Linked DNA regions of Caenorhabditis elegans. The protein of the gene in region 1 purifies or fractionates together with the protein of each later gene. This does not show direct contact. Each region holds a gene or a part of one and is shown on either strand. Other genes may lie near its edges. The genes, in order: snr-2, snr-3, nsun-5 and dnj-13.

Region 1 (3,221 bases):
AAAAATCTATGTAAAACAGCTCTTGGGGCTATTTTAAATGTTAAATAATTAAATAAATAGTCCAAAAATCCAGTGAAAACTGTAAAATTTTGCAAAAATCAGTTTTCCGCGTGTATTACACCGAAAATCAAAGGACTTCGCACGATTGGAAAGGCTTAAAATCAGAGGATTCCGCTGGAATTTTCCAGAAGAACGTACTCTGCTCTCATTCGGATCGATGGTGCAGAACGGGAAGTTTTCAGCCTGTGCTTCGGATTTGGTGAGCACATTGAAGAATGTCGACTTTCCAACGTTCGGAAGACCCAGAATTCCGACTTTAAGGTTGGTACCAAGACGTCCGATCAACGCGGGCTTCTCCTCGACGACGTTCTTCTTTGGAGGCATCTTTTTGATGGTTCCCTGACGACTTTTAAGTGTTTTACAATAAAAAAAAGATGAGAATTTAGAAGATAGAGAATTCTGGGTTTAAAACCATTGAGCTATCAAAAACCTAGCCTACTGAATCTCTCAAAATTCAAAAAGTTTATTCCAGATTCTGAACAGCTTACGAAGATTGGTGGGTGATGGGAAGATCTCGATCACCCGAGAGAGTATCGATAAATTAAATATATAATTAAAGGTATTTCTACCACAAAAAATGAAAAGAACAGAGAAAAATACAAGATCGGTGGGAAAAATGATAGAAACATGCGGATTTGGATAGCAAAATTTTAGAATGGACGTCCTCCTGGTGGGCCGCCATATCCTGGCTGCATGGCTGCCATTCCTGGTCCTCCGTGTCCGCGCATGGCTCCAGAGAGGCCTCCTGGTGCTCCGCCTGGTGGCATTCCCGGCATTCCTGGCATAGCTGGCATTCCACGGCCTCCTGGCTTGGCTTGTCCGACACCTCCAGCTCCTCCGGCCTTGGCGAGTCTCACTGAATCGTCATCTCTTGGTGGTGGTCCGTCGACGGTCATCGAGACGATATGTTCTCCGCGGACCAGTACGAGGCCGAGAATTCGCTTTTCTTCTCCATCGGTCTGAAAATAAAATGGTTTTTGTCTTCAATCAACGCTGCAGAAACAGAAAACAATACCTTCTTTCCGGCCTTTGGCTTGATTTGTCTGTGTTCCTCGCACTCTGCGAGTAAAATGTTCATATGCTTGTCGAAAGCCTTGAAAAATCCGATGAAGGTTCTACCGTCCTGAAGGATGATCTTCATCCTGTAGTTGAGATGAGCCATCATCTTATTATTCTTGGAGATAGTCTGAAAAGAAAATATTTTGTATTTATCTCCATGAGAACTGTAGAAAAACTTACCATCTTGAGGCGTTGGTTGTGATTTTTTGTCTAGGACCTGGAAATAAGAATATTGAAGTTTTACTCTTTCAAAATGAAAGAAATTAAAGAGTTCTGATGATACAAGAGATGAAACAAACGAATATTTCTGCAAAACAACTTCTAAAAGTCACAAGAACCGTTTGAAAACCGATCGTTTGAAATTACATAAATACCGGCGAGAAATCAAGGTTTTGAAATTGATTGAAATTTTAAGCGATGAAGAACCTTTAAATTCACTAATTTTTCAATTTTTTCGAAAGAAAATCTTAAAAATCAACTGAAAACCGACAAAACAAGCTGAAAATCAGCCAAAACTGCTGGAGAATAATTCGAAAATCTAGAGACGCCGCAACGAGACCCATTCGTATAAATGCGTGCGCCTTTAAATCGATTTGCGCGGCAGTTCAAATAAAAAAGGCGTGACCCCACGGAAAGCAGAAATTGGGGAAGAGAAGGTGAGGGGAGGGGTATAAAAAATGCAAAAATCGATTATTTCGAATATTAGTCCAATCGAAGAGTGGTGAATGGAGCAGTCTAACGGTCATAAGTTGTATGTCGTGTTGGATCAAGTGAGAATTTTCGAAAATTTCTTGAATTATCCGGTAATTTTATTCAGACATTCGTGTGTTTCGATATTGATCAACCAAAAAATGCGTGTCAAAAGTTGAAATTGAATAGTTTAGCTGGTGTTGGACCAATTTATTGGAGATTTCTGGTATTTAAGCTCAGGTGTGAGCAGCCTCTGGAATATCTGAATTTTTTCAAGACAAATGCTCCAACTCGATATTTCATAACCCCAAATCAGGCTGTTTTGCGTGACGATGAGCCGATTGAAGTGTGTATCACACTTTATCAGAACAAGTTCCGACCGAGACATGAAATCGTGCTTCAAGCTGCATCAATTCCAGAATGTGGAGATTTCGACCCGAAAGTTGGTTTTATTTTCGTACAATAATTGAATATCATATAAAAAAAATAAAGTAAAACTTTTCGAAAACCTTCAGAAAAGATGATATTTCAAGTTGAAAACCGAAAAGCTGTCAGTTTTCGCTAAATTCCGATTTGAATTTCCGCGTTTTTTGTGAGAGCGTTGTTCGATGGAGCGCGCTTGCATTTGACAAAAACGCGCAAATTCAAATTGCAATTAAGCAAAAAAACTGAAAGATTCTCGATTTTCAGCTGAATTTCAGCTTGAATTAAAAACTTTACAAAAAAAAAGAAAGTAATTTTTCCCTACAGAAACTCTTCGATTCTCCGGAAAATGTCCAATCCATCTCCCTGGATCTCGGCACAACCATCATGAAAATCGAGTCGGCAGTGGAGATTTCAAAGACGGCAACCGATTTTCATACGGCTCTCGACGCGTCTTCAGTGATTGGTTCGGATCGTGTGGATCAGCTTAAGTGTAATAGAGCGCGTTTGCTTCGTTTTTTTTAATTTTAAATTTGCGAAAATTTCAGCGATTCTAAACCTGACGAAAAGTGACACAGCACTGCTTGAATCTAATATAACTCAGGCAAAACAGCTGAAAATCACTTTGGATGCACAATTGCAACAAAGGTAGTTTTGAATTTTTTCCGGGTCTCGCCACGATCGCGTGCGCCTTTAATGGTGTATCAAAATTTAAAAAAAAAACGGATTAAAAACTACAGTACCCCTTATAGGCGCACACTCTTTACATAAAAGTTTTGATCGTGTCGAGACCCGATACAACTCAAATTTCAGAAAAGCTCTGGTCGATGAGTACAAGTCGAAACTGACAGTGCTGGAAGGAAGTTACATGCGCAAAAGTGCAGAGGTACTGAGATTTTTTATTTTGAAAAATTTAAAAAAAAACTTGAATTTCAGGTTCAACGTCTCCAAAACGAGCTTCAAAATGCTCAGAAGGCTCATGCAATGAA
Region 2 (3,189 bases), on another chromosome or scaffold:
AATAATAATGACTATAAAAAGTACAACGGCAATTTCCAGAACAGTAAAAATAACAAAGCAGTAAATTAGCCCAAAATTGCGTTCGACCTTCAAATTCCCCAATATTGTACAGTAGTTGAAGTAATCGTGGTGAGACCTGTGTGAATAATACCATGTGCCTTTAAATATTTTTAAAAAATGAAGGAAGTCTCCGCTCGGTTTTATTCGGGAATTATTAAAATCAGAACAGCTCTGAGGATGAACAAATATTATAAAATAGAAGTGGTAAATGAACAACAGTAAACGGTATAAAAACACAATTTTAATCCTTTGGAGATCCTGGAGACGGAGAGCGAGACACACTGCGATTGCTGCCATCTCGGCTGTGACTTCTTCCACGGCTCACGCTGCGCTTTCTATCTCCGCCGTTCTGAAACCATATGATTTTTACTATACAAGCACATAAATGAATTACCTTTGGGGGAGATCCACTTCGGGTTCTGCTTCGATCTTTTGCTGGCAGTGGTGAACGAGATCTCGACGCTTCACGCTTCCTAAAATATAATTCTTGCATTTAATAGAGTCGGAATCTAAAGGACTCGAATACGAAACCGATATGTTTGCGCGAAGTTGTCTGATTCAAAGTTAGGGATCTCACTCTTTTAATCGAAACAGCGGCTTTTGGTAACTGTGGGGACTGAACGAGAAGTGAATTGAAATGTATTGATAGTTGACCCATACTGTGCTCGAACTGTCTCAGCTATGTGTATGCCATTGCGATGTGGGCTTGTAGGTGATATTGATTTCTCATTGAACTGTGGCTAAAACGGTTCGTGATGTGGCACCCTTCCAAAACAATCCACACATTAAAGTTAACTTACAAGTCTCTTTTCGGGCTCGGCGAACGGGATTCGCTTCTGCGACGACTTTCACGAACTGGTGATCTGGATCTGGAGGAGCTTCTGGAACGGGATCTGCGAGAACGTTTGCGATCACGAGAGCGGGAACGTCTTCTTGGTGGAGTACGTGAACGACGTCTAGGAGAGCGGGAACGTCGTCGTGGTGATCTCGATCCATGACGGTCATTGCCGCGTGGTTTTCCGCGAGCCATTTCCACGACAAGGCGCATAGAGCTGAAAATAAAAAGTTAGAACATTTTTAATTTTGGTTTATTATTTTATTACCTTCCTTCCATGGTTTTTCCATCCAAATCATGGCATGCGTCTTCAGCATCACGAGAATCTTCAAAATCGACAAAGGCAAATCCATACTTCATTGAGATGTTATTAATTTTGCCATATCCTTTTAAGAATCGCTCAACGTCGCGTTCGCGTGCATTGTATGGAATTTTTCCTAGATAGAGGCGCGGCATTTCTGGAAAATCACTTTATATTCAAAAATTAATTTATTAAACGCCGTTCATTAAGCCCAGTAAAAAAAACACATGAATTCGAGAAATCAATCTCAATTTTAAGAAGAGAAAGTCCTAAGTCAAGAAAAAGAAATTCTATCAAAAGCGCACACATGAAAACGAGTGCGACCGTACTCCTAGTCGTTGCGAGACCACTTGGCATGCCGCCAAGTCTTTTGCATTTTCGAATGTGCTCAAAATGACTGGATTCCAGTCACTGGAAATCTGTTTTGAAACATTTTTCCTTGATGCAGATGTTTTTATTTGTCATAACCTCTTTCTTATCAGTTAAAAGTTATTTTTATCGTCGTATTTTCTATTGAATTCCATCGTTTCCTTTTATTCTTCTATAATTGTATGTATTTCAGGTAGAAAAATGAAGTTGGTCAGATTCCTGATGAAGTTGTCTCACGAGACCGTCAATATTGAATTGAAGAACGGTACTCAGGTGTCCGGTGAGTATTTTTTAAGATTAATTGTCTGCTTGAAAGTGTTTTAATCGAGAAGTTGAGTTATTAACCAACCAAAATCAATCTTTCACGAATTGCTCGACATTTGTTATAGTGTTTTTATATTAGGATACATTTTCAAAGTCATAAATCCGAATAATATTGTATAATTTTAATTACTGCAAAAACGTAACTAAACAACTAAATCGATTTTATTTAGGCACTATCATGGGAGTCGATGTTGCGATGAACACACATCTTCGTGCCGTCTCAATGACAGTTAAGAACAAGGAGCCAGTCAAACTCGACACGCTTTCAATCAGAGGTTATTAAAAATCATATTTGAATAAATATAATTTAAGATTTTCAGGTAACAACATCAGATACATCATTTTGCCGGATCCACTCGCTCTTGACACCCTTTTAATCGACGATGAACCAAGAAAGAAGGCCCGTGCCGCTCGCGCCGGAGGTAGCTTTAAGCGTCTTTTCGACAGATTATTAATATTTTTATTTCAGCTTCACGTGGACGTGGTCGTGGTGGAATGCGCGGAGGAAGAGGAGGTCGTGGTCGCGGACGCGGAGGACCACGCGGAGGCGGTCCACGTCGTTAAGCTATCATCGGGTCATAGCAAATTTGAGTATCGAACGTCCTATACTTTTGTATCACGTTCCTCAAGTTTAATTCACATTTTGTTCCCGTTAAAGTTGCTGACTTTTGTTTAAATCTTTTGAAATAATTTATTACGGCTTTCCGAGTCAACACAAATTTCCCAAGTTTCGCAGCCCGTGAGAACAACTGTACTTTATTTTGTTGTTACGTTCTGATCTCTATAAATTTCTTCAATTCAAGCATTAAGAGCAACAACATAAGGGCAAAAATTATTTATATTTAAAACAAAAAATTCGAATAAAAACAAGAAAATTGCATTATGCACTTTGCGGAACCGGCAACAAAATTGTATCCGAGTCCTGCGGTCCAGTAGCTTCAAAAACAATAGAACTATCCGTAGAAGGTAAAACTGCATCCAATCGATGTCGCTCCTCATCTGGAAAAAAATATGTAATTGAGTTAAAATTTACGATGGACCAACCTTCAGAGTTTCTGGGAGTACGGGGTGGTCGAGGAAGCAGAAGAGGTTGTGTTTCAGATTCAGTTGAATTGTTTGAGAACAAATCTGTCCAGAAGGTACACTGAAAGCAGAAAAAATGCGAAAGTTCCCAAACACTCATAATAATATTACAGTGTAAACAGCCAAGAATATTCCAATGAAAATTCCGACAAGAACATCGCTCCAATGATGCTTATTATCAGTGATTCTGGAGAAGCTAATTCCAAGTCCAATCATA
Region 3 (7,705 bases), on another chromosome or scaffold:
TTTTTGATTGAAAATTTGATGAGAATCTTTGGAAACTGGAAAAAGTAATAAAAAATCGGAAAAAAAGTTTCACTTGAATTTTTCAAAATTTTACAAAAATTTTACCGGGTTTTCTGTTTATTTTTGGTATTTTCAGGTTAAAAACATTTGGGATTTTTTTTTCAATTTTTTCCATATTTTTATGAAATTTTTCAAAATTTTCCGGCATTTAAGATTTTTATTCGAATTATTTAAGATTTTTTAAAAAGGATTCTAACATTTTTTTTGGTTTTTTTTCAAATTTTTTTCGGATTTTTTTTGGAATTGTGCAAAAAAATTTTGGGTTTTTTAATTTTGAAAAAAATCTGGATTTTTTCTAATTTTTTCAAAATTTTCTGACTTCTCAGATTTTGCCTGATTTTTTCTGATTTTTTTTGGATTAAAAAAAATTTTTTTTCGATTTATTTTTGGCTTTTTCAGGGTAAAAAAATCGGATTTTTTCGAGTTTCACTTTAAAAAAATGTTTTCGAATTTTTTTCCGGGTTTTTCGGTTCATTTTCAATTTTTCACATTTTTAATAAAAACAATTCGGATTTTTACGAATTTTCTGAATTTGAGATTTTGTCGAATTTTTTTTCGATTTTTAGATACAAAATTGAATTTAAAAAAAAATATTTTTTCATGAAACTTGAAAGCTTCCAAATTTGAAGCTCGAATTTAATTTTTTAAAGCCAAATTTTTCGAATATTTTTTTCTGCAACAAACCTTTGAAAATTTCTTATCAGTGACGTCAGTTTTCAGAAAATCTCCACAAAATGAGCTGGCGATTGCGACTTTCGAGGCGTCAAGGAGCTGCTTCATAGTGGCTACACGGTCCGCCGCACGATCCATCGCCCATACTTTTCTGGAATTTTTTTTTGTGAAGTTTTAGATTTTGCAAAAAAAAATATTTTTCAGGTTTTTTTCTAGAAAATTTTGGATTTTTTTCAGATTTTTTTTTTGGAATTTTTCAAAATTTTCCGACTTTTCAGATTTTTGCGGTTTTCTTTATTTTTCCAGATTTTTTTATGGGGAAAAAATTTCAGGTACCCCTGATTCTCCATAATTGCCGCCGCATGGCTCGTCTTCATTCCAGGAGCTGCACACGTGTCGAATACTTGGGAGCCGGGACGTGGATTGAGCAGGAAGGCCGGGAGACATGAAGCCTGAAAATTTGAAAAATTTTATTGGAAATTTAGGAAACAGATAATTATTTTTTCTCTTTCTGATAATTTCGGAATTCTTCTTTTTTTTTCGAATTTGTTCAAACTTTTTAGATTTATTGGATTTTTTTTATAAATTGAAATTTATTAGTTTGTTTTACGAACTTTTTTCCGATCTTCTTCGAATTTTTTTTTGGATTTTCTCCGAATTGGTTTTAGATTTTTTCCGGAATTTTTGGGTTTTTTATCGAATTTTTCGGATTTTTTTCTCGAATTTTTCTCGAATTTTTTCCGGATTTTTTCAGATTTGTTAATTTTTTAAACGAAAATTTATCAGTTGTGTTCGAATTTGTTTGGTTTTTTTTTTTGGATTTTTTCTCGAATTTTTTCCGGATTTTTTCAATTTTTTTTTGATGTTTTTTCGGAATTTTCCGACTTTTCAGATTTTTTTTCTTGAATTTTTTCGGATTTTTAAATGGAAAAATTATTTCAAATAAAAAAAAATTCAAGTTTAATTTTGTATTTTTTATTCAAAAAATCTCTTTTTTTTTTGGGGAAATTATCAAGTTTTTCTATTACAAAATTCGAATTTTCGAGACAAAAATGTGATTTTTCTAGCTATTTGCAAAAAATTAATTTTTTTTAATTTGTGTAATCTTTTCCTAAAATTGTTTATTTAAAATTTAAAAATTCTGGTGTTTTTTCTGTGTAATTTGAAAATTTAATTTAATTTTTTTTTGTTTTTTAGATTAAAAATTACGTTTTTAAACATTTTTTTAAGCTTTTTATTCAGAATTTTACTGGAAAACTTAAATTTTTTCCATCAAAATTCACCTTATCCTGTAAAATCAAATATCTCTGCTCAACCATCCAATATTCATAAAAATTCTGAATATTCGGCGCAAAAATAATCAAATTCTCGACATGCGGATCCACATACACCTCATCATCCTTCATTTTTGTCACCATTTCCGCGAAATTCTCGGGTTTCAGTGTCCCGAGAATCTTCCATTTTTCGGTTTCGAGAGTCTTCATAGCTTCATCTGCAGTCCATTTCAGTGTATTGATACGCGCATATCGGGGGATTTGGATCTGCGAAAAAAAATGTTGAATTTAGTTTTAAAAATCAGTTTTTTTTCGAATTTTTTTTCAGTTAAAAAAAAAGTTCAAAAATTTTTTCCCGATTTTTTCGGATTTATTCCAATTTTTTCAGGTTTTCAATTTTTTCAACGGATTTTTTTCGAAATTTTTTCAGAATTTTTCAATTTTTAAATCGATTTTTTAAAGTTTTTTTTCGATTTTTTTTTCGGCTTTTTTTTAAAGGTTTTCAGATTTTTTTTCGGTTTTTTTTCGAATTTTTTTCAAAAAAAAAATTTTCCGAAATTTTTCGGATGTATTCAGAATTTTTTCCATCAAAATTCACCTTATCCTGTAAAATCAAATATCTCTGCTCAACCATCCAATATTCATAAAATTTCTGAATATTCGGCGCGAAAATAATCAAATTCTCGACATGCGGATCCACATACACCTCATCATCCTTCATTTTTGACACCATTTCCGCGAAATTTTCAGGTTTTAAATTTTTTTTTAATTTCGGATTTTTTTTTGGATTTTTTCCTATTTTTTCGATGTATTCCGGTTTTTTTTCAGGTTTTTTTTCGGATTTTTTTTCGATTTTTTTCCAAAAATTATTTTCCGTTTTTTTCAGATTTTTTCGGAATTTTTTTTCGAAATTTAATAGTTTTTTATTCGATTTATTCGAATTTTTGCAGATTTTCAGGCTTTTTCCGGTTTTTTTTTCGTTAAAAAAATTCTTTATAAAAAAGTTTGATTTTTTTTGGATGTATTCAGGTTTTTCAGGTTTTCAATTTTTTTTTTCTCGAAAATTCAGTCATTTTCAGCGAGAAATTCAAATTTTCAGTTAATTTAAACTGTTTATTCGATTTTTTCGAAATTCATTCAGATTTTCGGGGTTTTTCTCGAAATTTCAGTCAATTTCTAGCGGGAAATTTAAAATTTCCATCTCAAAGCACCTTTTTCATTCCATCGTCCGCTTCTTTCATCGCCTTAATTCCTCTTCCCTCGTCTTGCATCGCGTGCTCCACCTCCTTAATCCTCTGAATTCTCCTTGAAATTACAGATTTCAACTCCTGAGAGCATCTGGTCAATCCGGAGCCAACAAGTGTCTCATACATGAGCACATAGAGCAGCTCGACGGATCCACCGATATTCGCATCGCGTTTCATCGATTTTAGCTCCTTATCTTGTAGAATTTCATCGAAAACCGGCCGAAATTTGAGCGATTCACACGAAAGTCGGAGAAGCGCCTTTTTGTTCTGGAAAATTCAAAAAATTAGGTCAAGTTTAAAGGGACATGCTGTTTTATTCTCTTGGAACGCTGGTAGGCAAGCACGTCTCAGGCCTAGGTGCCTGCCTGTCGCCTAGGCTTTGAAGGCAGGCAGGTCGTACGCTTATCTGTTCGAAAAATTAGGTCAAGTTTAAAGGGACATGCGGTTTTCCTCGTGGTGGGTCTCGCAGCGACACTTGGAGTGTTTCTGTGGTAGGAACGTCTAGGCATAGGTGCCTGCCTGCCGCCTAGGCGCTGATATATATCACCTTGACCTACGCGCTTATGTTTAAAAAATTGGGACAAGTTTAAAGGAACACGCTCTGATTTCCCTTGCGGTGGGTCTCGCAACGACATTTGGAGTGATTTTGTGGTAGGCAGACACGCCTCAGGTGCCTGTCTGCCTATCAACTAGGCGTAGGCCGCCTTCAAAACAGGCAGGGGTTGTGCACGAAATGCTTAGACTTTTTCTTTAAAAAAGAACAATTTATTGCAGCAAGAATGTGGAAAATTGGACAAAATCGGCTCGAATTCGAAATTTTCAGAATAAAAATACTGAAAAATGGAGTAAAAACTAGAAAATTGGAGAGAAAAGTGAAATTTTAAAGAGAAAAATCGATTTTTTTGACCAAAAATGATAAAAATTCAACAGAAAATCAGATTTTTAGTGGGAAAATTCTGTAAAAACGGGAAAATCCGGGAAATTAAACTGAAATTCCATCATTTTTTAGCCAAAATTTGAACCTTTTTCACCAAAAAATTCGAAAAATCCAACGAAAAACCGGATTTTTAGTGGAAAATTCGATATCGATCAGTTTTTACTCGAAAAATAGTGAAAAATAGAATTTTTCGGACATTTTTGAGCCAAAATTTCTGAAATTTTGGACTTTTTCACCAAAAAAAAATTCGAAAAATCCAATTTTCAATGGGAAAATCGAATTTGATCAGTTTTTAGTAGAAAAATTGAATTTTCGCCTATTTTTGAGCCAAAATTTCACAAATTTTGCACCTTTTTCACCAAAAAAAAATTCGAAAAATCCAATTTTCAATTGGAAATTTGAAATTCGATCAGTTTTTACTAGAAAAATTGAATTTTTGCCTTTTTCGAGACAAAATTTCACAATTTTTAGTTATTTTTCACTGAAAAATGAGTTTTCGAGCCGATTTTCTAGATTAAAAACAACAATTTCAATAAAAAAAAAAACAAAAAAAAATCAATTAACAAGACTTCAAAAATTTGCCCTGAATCCACTGCCGGTACATTTTCACTTGTTTCGCTCGATTCACAATGAGCCGTCGATCCACGTGCATCACTTTCTTCTGAAGCCCGTGCTCGGCGAGCAGCGTCTCCAACTCTTCCATATCGAAGAAATAGACCAGGGTTCCGTCTCCTCGGCAGTACAAATTTCCGTCGATTAGTCGATCTTTTTTGAATCGCAACTGCGTTAAATCGTATCTCCCGTAGTCTTTGAGCAGCAGACTTCCACCGGGTTTGAGCAGCCGGACGAGATTTTTCAGAGCATTTTTGATATTATCCGGATGGATAGCCGACAGCACGTAGATACACACAATATAGTCTAGAGATCCGACGTTTGGAGCCTCCTGGGAAGCCGGTTGCGTGATATCCCACACAAATGCGTTCATTTTCTCCGGATCGTAGGCGTCCTGGGATTTCAGGACTCGAATCGCGTTTGGAGCATAATCACAGCTGTGCAGCATGAGCCGGGAGCTGGAATTGTTCACTTGGAGCAGTGGGAACGTGGTATTTCCGACGCCACAGCCAACTTCCAGTATTTCTATCTTTTCTTTCTGAAAATCAAGGTTTTTTTATGTTTTAATGTTTTTTTTTTGAATATTTAATGCTCAAATTACCTGTAAATTACCTGTAAATTACTCTCATCCTCCACATTAAGCTCTGGGAACTCTTTTAACAGCCAATTCCTGTCTTTGAAGAATCTATTCTCATTATGAGCATAAAAAGCATCCCATTGATCCGCTGGGGTGCTTAAAAGCCGCATCGCCTTCTCCTCATCAACCTTCATCGACTTTTGACCTTGCACAATCCGCTGAGCTTCTTCCTGTTGCTCTGGGGACCATTCCACGTCGTCCCATGCGTTGTGCTCGAAAACTTTGGTGTCATCGGTCAAAAATCGGGTTCCGAAGGGGTTGCATTTGGGTTTTTCGTCGGGATTCTCTTCGGCGCAGGCCATGATTGGCTCGTCTTTCATTTTATTACCTGTGAGAATTGGAAAATAATTTAAACAATGGATTTTGAGAGGTAGAAAACGAGATAAAACGGAAGAAAATCCAACAGCAAAAGAAGAAACAGAGCAAATAATAAAATATTGCTTTCCACGAATTGATTTTCCGTAAAACTGCTAAACTAACTTTATACGAACTCCCGTAGACCGCATTTCTCACACTTTTCTCCTTGGCCAAAACGCAGCGGATAATTTCGGCGACCTCGTTGTACAGCGCATCGGTTGCCATCTAAATTTGAATAGTTTTCGACAAAAAATATAATTTTTCAATAGTGGAAAGCAATATTTCAAGATGAAATTGAGAAAAAAAGCAAGAAACATTAGAAAAAAAGAATTAAAAATATTTTTTGCAATGGAGCGCACTTTCTCGTCTGCCTTTGCGCGTGATGGTGTTTGCGTCCAGAGCGGAAAAAATTGAAAATTTGATTTTTTAAATTTATTTTTTTTCTGATTTTTCGCATTTTAAAATGCATTTTCTATTGTTTTTCTTCAAATATTTGCTTAATTTTGAATATTTTTCAGATTTAAAACATGGCCTGGCGAAAGAAAACCAAGAAAGCCGCTCCGATCGCGCAAATGAGCGAGGAGGACGTGCGAGAAATCGAGGAGCACGTCGAAGAGCTCGTCCGATCGCAATTGCCACTGGGAAGAGTCAAAAAAGTGGTCAGAATGAATCCGGACGTCGAGATGCTCAACAATGAGGCACTGCAATTGATGGCGAAGGCGGCGGTGAGAGAAAATCGCATTTTTTCTTCGAATTTTCATTATATTTTTTTAATTTCCAGGAGCTCTTCATCAAGGAGCTGAGCAACGCGGCGAATCAGAACGCAGCGCTGGAAAAACGAAAAACCGTCCAGACGAAGGACATTGGTTGGTGGAAAAAACTCAAATTTCAGCTAATAAAATCGATTTTTTGCAGATAAAGCTATCAAGAAGACGTGGGCCTTCGCTTTCCTGGAAGATGCTCTGGATGGGTGGCCGAAGTTGGAGCCAAAGAAGCGAAAAGTGAATGCGAATTCCGGTCAGGATGAGACGGTTGTAGAGGAGGAAACGATTATCGAGGAAGAAGAGGAGATCCACGTGGAAGAAGAAGAAGATGAAGAGCTTCCGGAGACCGTTCTCGAAATCGATGAAAATGAAGAAATCGCGAGAGATAAATTTGCCGAGCAATTTTGATTTTATATATTTTTGTATTTAGTTTTGATTTTTTTCTCTTTATTTGAATAAATTTACTTACATCAACGATTTATTCTTCTTCGTCTAGTCACTTTTTTTTCAGGGAAAATAAATTTTCAGGAAGGTCCTTCGGAATTAGAAATGGACAGCAATTTTTGATTTTTTTTTTCGCCAAAAATACGGTATCGGGTCTCGACGCGACAAATTTTTGAAAAATATGTGCGCCTTTAAAGAGTACTGTAGTTTCAAACTTTCGTCGCTGTTGAATTTTAATCGATTTTTAAAAAAGTTTTCTTTGATTTATAATTATGATATATTCATGAGTTAAAAATATATTTATTCATATTAATCCTGAAAATATGAAAAAATCAATAAAACTCCAAAGCAATAAAAGTTTGAATATACAGTACTATTTAAAGGCACACACCCTTTTGCATTTAACAAAAATGTATTTATTTATCGTGTTGAGACCGGTTTCGCGTGTAATTTGGAAATGACTCAATTTTTTTAAGTAAAAAATTTTTTTTTTAAGTAACGAAAATACTTTTAAAAAACATGCGAAATCATTTGAATTTACGGTTTTGCCGCAAATACCTAACGAGACCCAACAATTAGGGGCTTTTAACATTTGTTTCCGTTTTAAAAAAAATATTTTCATAGAACTTGCTTACTTTTCAAAATAGATGTAGGAAAATTCATAGGATGCGTACAATTTTGCCGATTAAAATTGAAATTCT
Region 4 (4,153 bases), on another chromosome or scaffold:
GGTGAGCTCAAGTTTGAGAATAATTTTTTGGGTGTAGTCGAATTTAGACGATATGTAAAAACGATACATCACAAAAATTTCGTTAACGTGAGTTATGGCTTCGAAATAGCGAATAATTCTAAATTTTTTGAACTTCGCGCGCGAACGAGCGCCCTCTGCGTGTACTCCTCTCGGACAATCATATAATTAATATGTTGATTATTGTTTTCGGCTAATTTTAGGTGATTGTTGCGGTTTTTATTGTATTTTTACAGCAGTCTTAATTAAATTCGACTACACCAGCCTTAAATATTAACTGAAACATTAATTACCTCTACTTGCAATCTTGCCAATTGACGTGAATCCTCTGGTCAGCATTTTTGCCGCTGCAAACTGGTAAAGAATGATGATGGTGTGCCCTCATCTCCTTTCTTTCAACGCCCGATATCATCTTTTACCCCCACGTGGCCAAGGACAAGACAATCGATACGATGAGGAGACAGATCAACTGAACACACGAAAATCACAAAACTTTCTTTTGCTTTAATTTAAAAGTTTATTTATCGGAAATGTTGATAAGGAAGCACGAATTAAAATTGAAAGAGGGGGCGGTTGAGGGGGGATACAATTACACCGAGTATCTTGTCAATGAAGGTTTTCATGTCATTAGAATGAGACTTGATAAACGATAAAAAATGCATCTGAATAACTATGGGCAATATGTGTGAGATGGGTAATTAACAATGAAACATGGGTGATAAAAAGAACAACATCCTAATAAAAAATCTCTTAAATACCCGCTTGAAAACATCGAACAAGGCGACTGAATACTGCTAAATCGAATCCAATGGCAATCAAGAGTGATTGTTTACCCGTCTTGGTTCGACTGTAGTTGATTGATAAGCAAGAGAGGGAAAATTGAAAAATGCGATTAGAAGTTCCTCAGAATCACTTCCCGTTGAGTTGGATTGAGTTGTGATGGGAATTCCACGTCAAACTCAATGATTAAATCTCCTCTGTGAGATGGAGACTTTGGATTTGGAAGTCCTTTTCCAGTCAGCCTGAAAGAATTAAAATTAATAATTTACTTCTCGTGAATCTCAAAATTTTTAACCTACCGTCTTGTAGTTCCCGGCTTAATGACATCGTTCAATTGAAGACGGTAGTCTGCTCCATCCAACGTTGGAATCATAATATCAAGGCCAGTCAATGCAGACTTCAGGGAGATCTTTTCGACGCGTTTGATGTCAGATCCCTCTCGCTTGAATTTCGGGTGTGGCTTATCCTTGATGACGAAGACTATGTCGGCGGGAGTTCTGTTCGGGTGCTGATCACCTTCTTTTGGGAATGTGATCTTTGTGCCTGACTTCCATCCTGGTTTAATAGTGACCGTCAAAACTTTGTCTTCTAGGCGTTGAGCATTGTCCGTCATAACTTTTCTTGTAATCTTCATCTTCTTCGTTGTACCTTTCAGTACATCCTCCAAACTGACAGAAAGATCATGGAGCACAGCAGGATCTTGACGAGCATGTCCACGTCTTCCACCTTGATGCATGCCGCCGAACATACCGTCATCCATACCACCTTGATTCATGAAGAACATATTCGGGCCTCCGGCTCCACCACCAAGATCAAACATTCCAGGTCCACCAGCACCGAACGGATCGGATCCTCCAAAGAATGATGAGAAAATGTTCATTGGGTCTCCACGGAATTCGTAGTGCATTCCACCGCCGCCACCACCTCCGGCTCCTGGTCCACCTTCCTTTAGTCCTTCCTCTCCGAATTGATCGTAAATCTTCTTTTTCTTATCATCGGAAAGAACATCGTAAGCTTCGGCAATTTCCTGTAATTAAAAAAAATATTATTTCAGGTTAACATCAATAAATTCCCAGAAAAACTGCAATTTTACTGGGATTTTCTATATTTTGATTAAAATCGTTTTTAAATCGAGTGCTTAAAAATAACAACTTGGTCATGAAAAGTACAGTATCCTTCACCGAGGACCAAAAACTTTTTTTTAAATTAGAAAACTAAATTTTAAAAAATACCTTGAATTTGTTCTCAGCTCCAGCTTCCTTATTCTTATCCGGATGGTATTTCAAAGCCATTTTACGATAAGCCTTTTTGATTTCATCGTCTGTTGCACCTTTGCTGATGCCCAGCACTTTGTAGTAGTCTTTTCCCATTGTGGAAAGTAATCTGAAAAGAAATCATATGAATTTTTGAAATATTAACCAGTAACAGGTTAACGGAATAAATGAAGCAACAGATAGATAAAAAGAATACACCCGGCAGAATAAATATGGGTCAACATCAGAAGAGGAAACACGGAGAAATGGAAGAGAGAGTGCGCCGAATCATGAGAGAGAAGAGTGCGGAACTTTCCAGAGCGTTCTATTTACTCGCGAAGCGCAGTGCATGTTCGATCTTCCGTCGGCCGGTGGAGCGCACATGCATCACTCGTTTTTTTTATTGAAAATACATTGGTTTCGCAAGATAAAAATGAGGAATGAATAAAAGCATGAGCACGATACAAAGAAAAGAATGAGCAAGAGATAAGAAATTGTGCTTTTTGGTATTTATTTTCTGAAAAAAGAATATTCTGGAAGGCGAAGTTTCGTCACGAAAAAATATGTTTGTTGGAAAGAATGATTTACGTACACTAGGAAGAAAAGTTATGCTTAAAATTCACTTGCTTATTTAAAAATTGATTATTTAAAACCTGAATTGTTAAAATTTAAATTATTCGAAGAGAAAATAAAGAGAAAAAATTGTTTCCATGAAATTAGTTTTGTTCTCGTGTATAAACAGCAATCAGATATTATTTTTAGAAAAGATTTTTAGAAAAAACTTTAATAAAACTGTATTGAATTAAACAATTTTAAAAATCAAGCCTCTATCCATAATCCAGAAGGCCTCCTGAACTCTGCGCTCGAAAACCCCTAGGCGCGCCGAAAAAAAATAAATAATGCGAAGAGTACTGTATCAAAGGGACATCAACGGCGCACAGTATGGTCCTGCCACGGAGACATATTTCTGTTTTCCTAAACAAGTTTGTGCGAACCTCCATGCTTTTTCACCGGTCCCAAAGTATTTTCCTCTGATTTTAAAGTATTTTTCGTATAAAAATGTTTCGGCGAACCGAGCCACCGTTCCGATTGTTGGCTAGAAAGCGAAGAAATTCCGATTCGACGCCCCCAATCACGAAGTTCTTTGCAACAGTAAAACGGGAACGTTCAAGCTCTGAATCGAAAAACGTATGCCAGAAGTTGGACGGTACGACAATTTTTCTTTTAATTTAAAATTAATTTTCTTGATTTTCAGAAAGTTTCGAAGCTCCCAACAACTTATCTCAAACCTCTCATACCGATTCACCAGACAATGGGCTTTTGTACTCCTTGGAGGATTTGCGAGCACTTTTAGGTGTTCCTGTCAAATTTTCCTCGAAATGTGTGCCATCTCCAGATGCACCAGTGGGCTTGGAAAACCTGCCGAATAGAGCCTATTCGCATATTTTCACAATTCTTGACAGTTAGTTGTGAAGTACTGATCAGAAATTTTAACATTCACATTTTTCAGTGCAATCCATTAATGCGCTTTCACTGACATCCACAAAGTTGTGCTCACGAGTCAAAACCTACGTTTCAACCCACGATTTTTTCCGTCGAATGCAATTGGATAATCTTGACTTTCTCAATAGCTCACTCCGCCCCGACGATGAAGAATTCTTAGAGAATGATCCTTTCACTGCATGTGGTTAGTGTTGCAATATTTTTATTTTCGTTTATAAATCTAAATGTATTTTAACAGGTGGCCTCATCAAATCCATCACGATCACAATGAACACAAAGATCCGCGCTCAAGTCTTCCTGAACATCTGCCGGAATTTGCGTGATCAACTCGGAGGCTCCCTTCATGGTTTTGGAAGACTCCTGGAAACGATAACGCACAATTGGAAGTTCTCTGAACGTCGTATAATGGTAAAAGCTGCAATCATGATCGACGCTGATCTCCGTCCTTCGATTATCAAGGTTCTTACTGCTAAACCGGGCCAGTTGATAGGTCTCGAGATGAAAGTTCGTTCCGGGTTGACCCAACTCTTCCTCAACTTGAGTCAAGACATCGATGAAGCTTCTCCACAGGAGATTATCGAGTTTGGCTCCTGGTTGTC

Evidence for each region.
Region 2: the proteins of snr-2 (region 1) and snr-3 fractionate together in Caenorhabditis elegans (co-fractionation; one large-scale study listed by BioGRID). This does not show direct contact.
Region 3: the proteins of snr-2 (region 1) and nsun-5 fractionate together in Caenorhabditis elegans (co-fractionation; one large-scale study listed by BioGRID). This does not show direct contact.
Region 4: the proteins of snr-2 (region 1) and dnj-13 fractionate together in Caenorhabditis elegans (co-fractionation; one large-scale study listed by BioGRID). This does not show direct contact.

Annotation. Positions count from the first base shown.
Region 1 is NC_003279.8:13,337,512-13,340,732, reverse strand, and holds snr-2 (putative small nuclear ribonucleoprotein-associated protein B), read right to left. Parts: upstream 1,337-3,221; 5' UTR 1,303-1,336; coding exon 1,300-1,302; intron 1,247-1,299; coding exon 1,076-1,246; intron 1,020-1,075; coding exon 711-1,019; 3' UTR 509-710; downstream 1-508. Other genes in the region: ola-1 (Obg-like ATPase 1), read right to left, coding at 199-384; W08E3.4 (Major sperm protein), read left to right, coding at 1,845-1,889, 1,937-2,251, 2,560-2,725, 2,781-2,880, 3,046-3,118, 3,169-3,221. UniProt on the Caenorhabditis elegans protein: Plays a role in pre-mRNA splicing as a core component of the spliceosomal U1, U2, U4 and U5 small nuclear ribonucleoproteins (snRNPs), the building blocks of the spliceosome.
Region 2 is NC_003280.10:6,488,331-6,491,519, reverse strand, and holds snr-3 (putative small nuclear ribonucleoprotein Sm D1), read left to right. Parts: upstream 1-1,758; 5' UTR 1,759-1,766; coding exon 1,767-1,845; intron 1,846-2,059; coding exon 2,060-2,164; intron 2,165-2,209; coding exon 2,210-2,311; intron 2,312-2,358; coding exon 2,359-2,453; 3' UTR 2,454-2,689; downstream 2,690-3,189. Other genes in the region: rsp-5 (putative splicing factor, arginine/serine-rich 5), read right to left, coding at 302-409, 455-533, 861-1,112, 1,164-1,351; plpp-1.2 (Phosphatidic acid phosphatase type 2/haloperoxidase domain-containing protein), read right to left, coding at 2,770-2,888, 2,934-3,033, 3,084-3,189. UniProt on the Caenorhabditis elegans protein: Plays a role in pre-mRNA splicing as a core component of the spliceosomal U1, U2, U4 and U5 small nuclear ribonucleoproteins (snRNPs), the building blocks of the spliceosome.
Region 3 is NC_003280.10:14,967,964-14,975,668, reverse strand, and holds the start of nsun-5 (26S rRNA (cytosine-C(5))-methyltransferase nsun-5), read right to left. Parts: upstream 6,022-7,705; coding exon 5,920-6,021; intron 5,770-5,919; exon of another isoform or gene 5,760-5,769; coding exon of another isoform or gene 5,415-5,759; intron 5,341-5,414; coding exon of another isoform or gene 4,750-5,340; exon of another isoform or gene 4,012-4,749; intron 3,521-4,011; coding exon 3,218-3,520; intron 2,274-3,217; coding exon 2,016-2,273; intron 1,185-2,015; coding exon 1,069-1,184; intron 884-1,068; coding exon 745-883; intron 1-744. Other genes in the region: metl-2 (tRNA N(3)-methylcytidine methyltransferase), read right to left, coding at 4,750-5,340, 5,415-5,759; pole-4 (Transcription factor CBF/NF-Y/archaeal histone domain-containing protein), read left to right, coding at 6,324-6,521, 6,578-6,662, 6,712-6,968. UniProt on the Caenorhabditis elegans protein: S-adenosyl-L-methionine-dependent methyltransferase which methylates the carbon-5 position of cytosine 2381 to 5-methylcytosine (m5C2381) in 26S rRNA.
Region 4 is NC_003280.10:11,543,729-11,547,881, reverse strand, and holds dnj-13 (DnaJ homolog subfamily B member 13), read right to left. Parts: upstream 2,182-4,153; 5' UTR 2,169-2,181; coding exon 2,031-2,168; intron 1,826-2,030; coding exon 1,098-1,825; intron 1,041-1,097; coding exon 911-1,040; 3' UTR 522-910; downstream 1-521. Other genes in the region: F54D5.7 (putative glutaryl-CoA dehydrogenase, mitochondrial), read right to left, coding at 312-357; F54D5.9 (F-box domain-containing protein), read left to right, coding at 3,111-3,258, 3,307-3,513, 3,562-3,738, 3,793-4,153.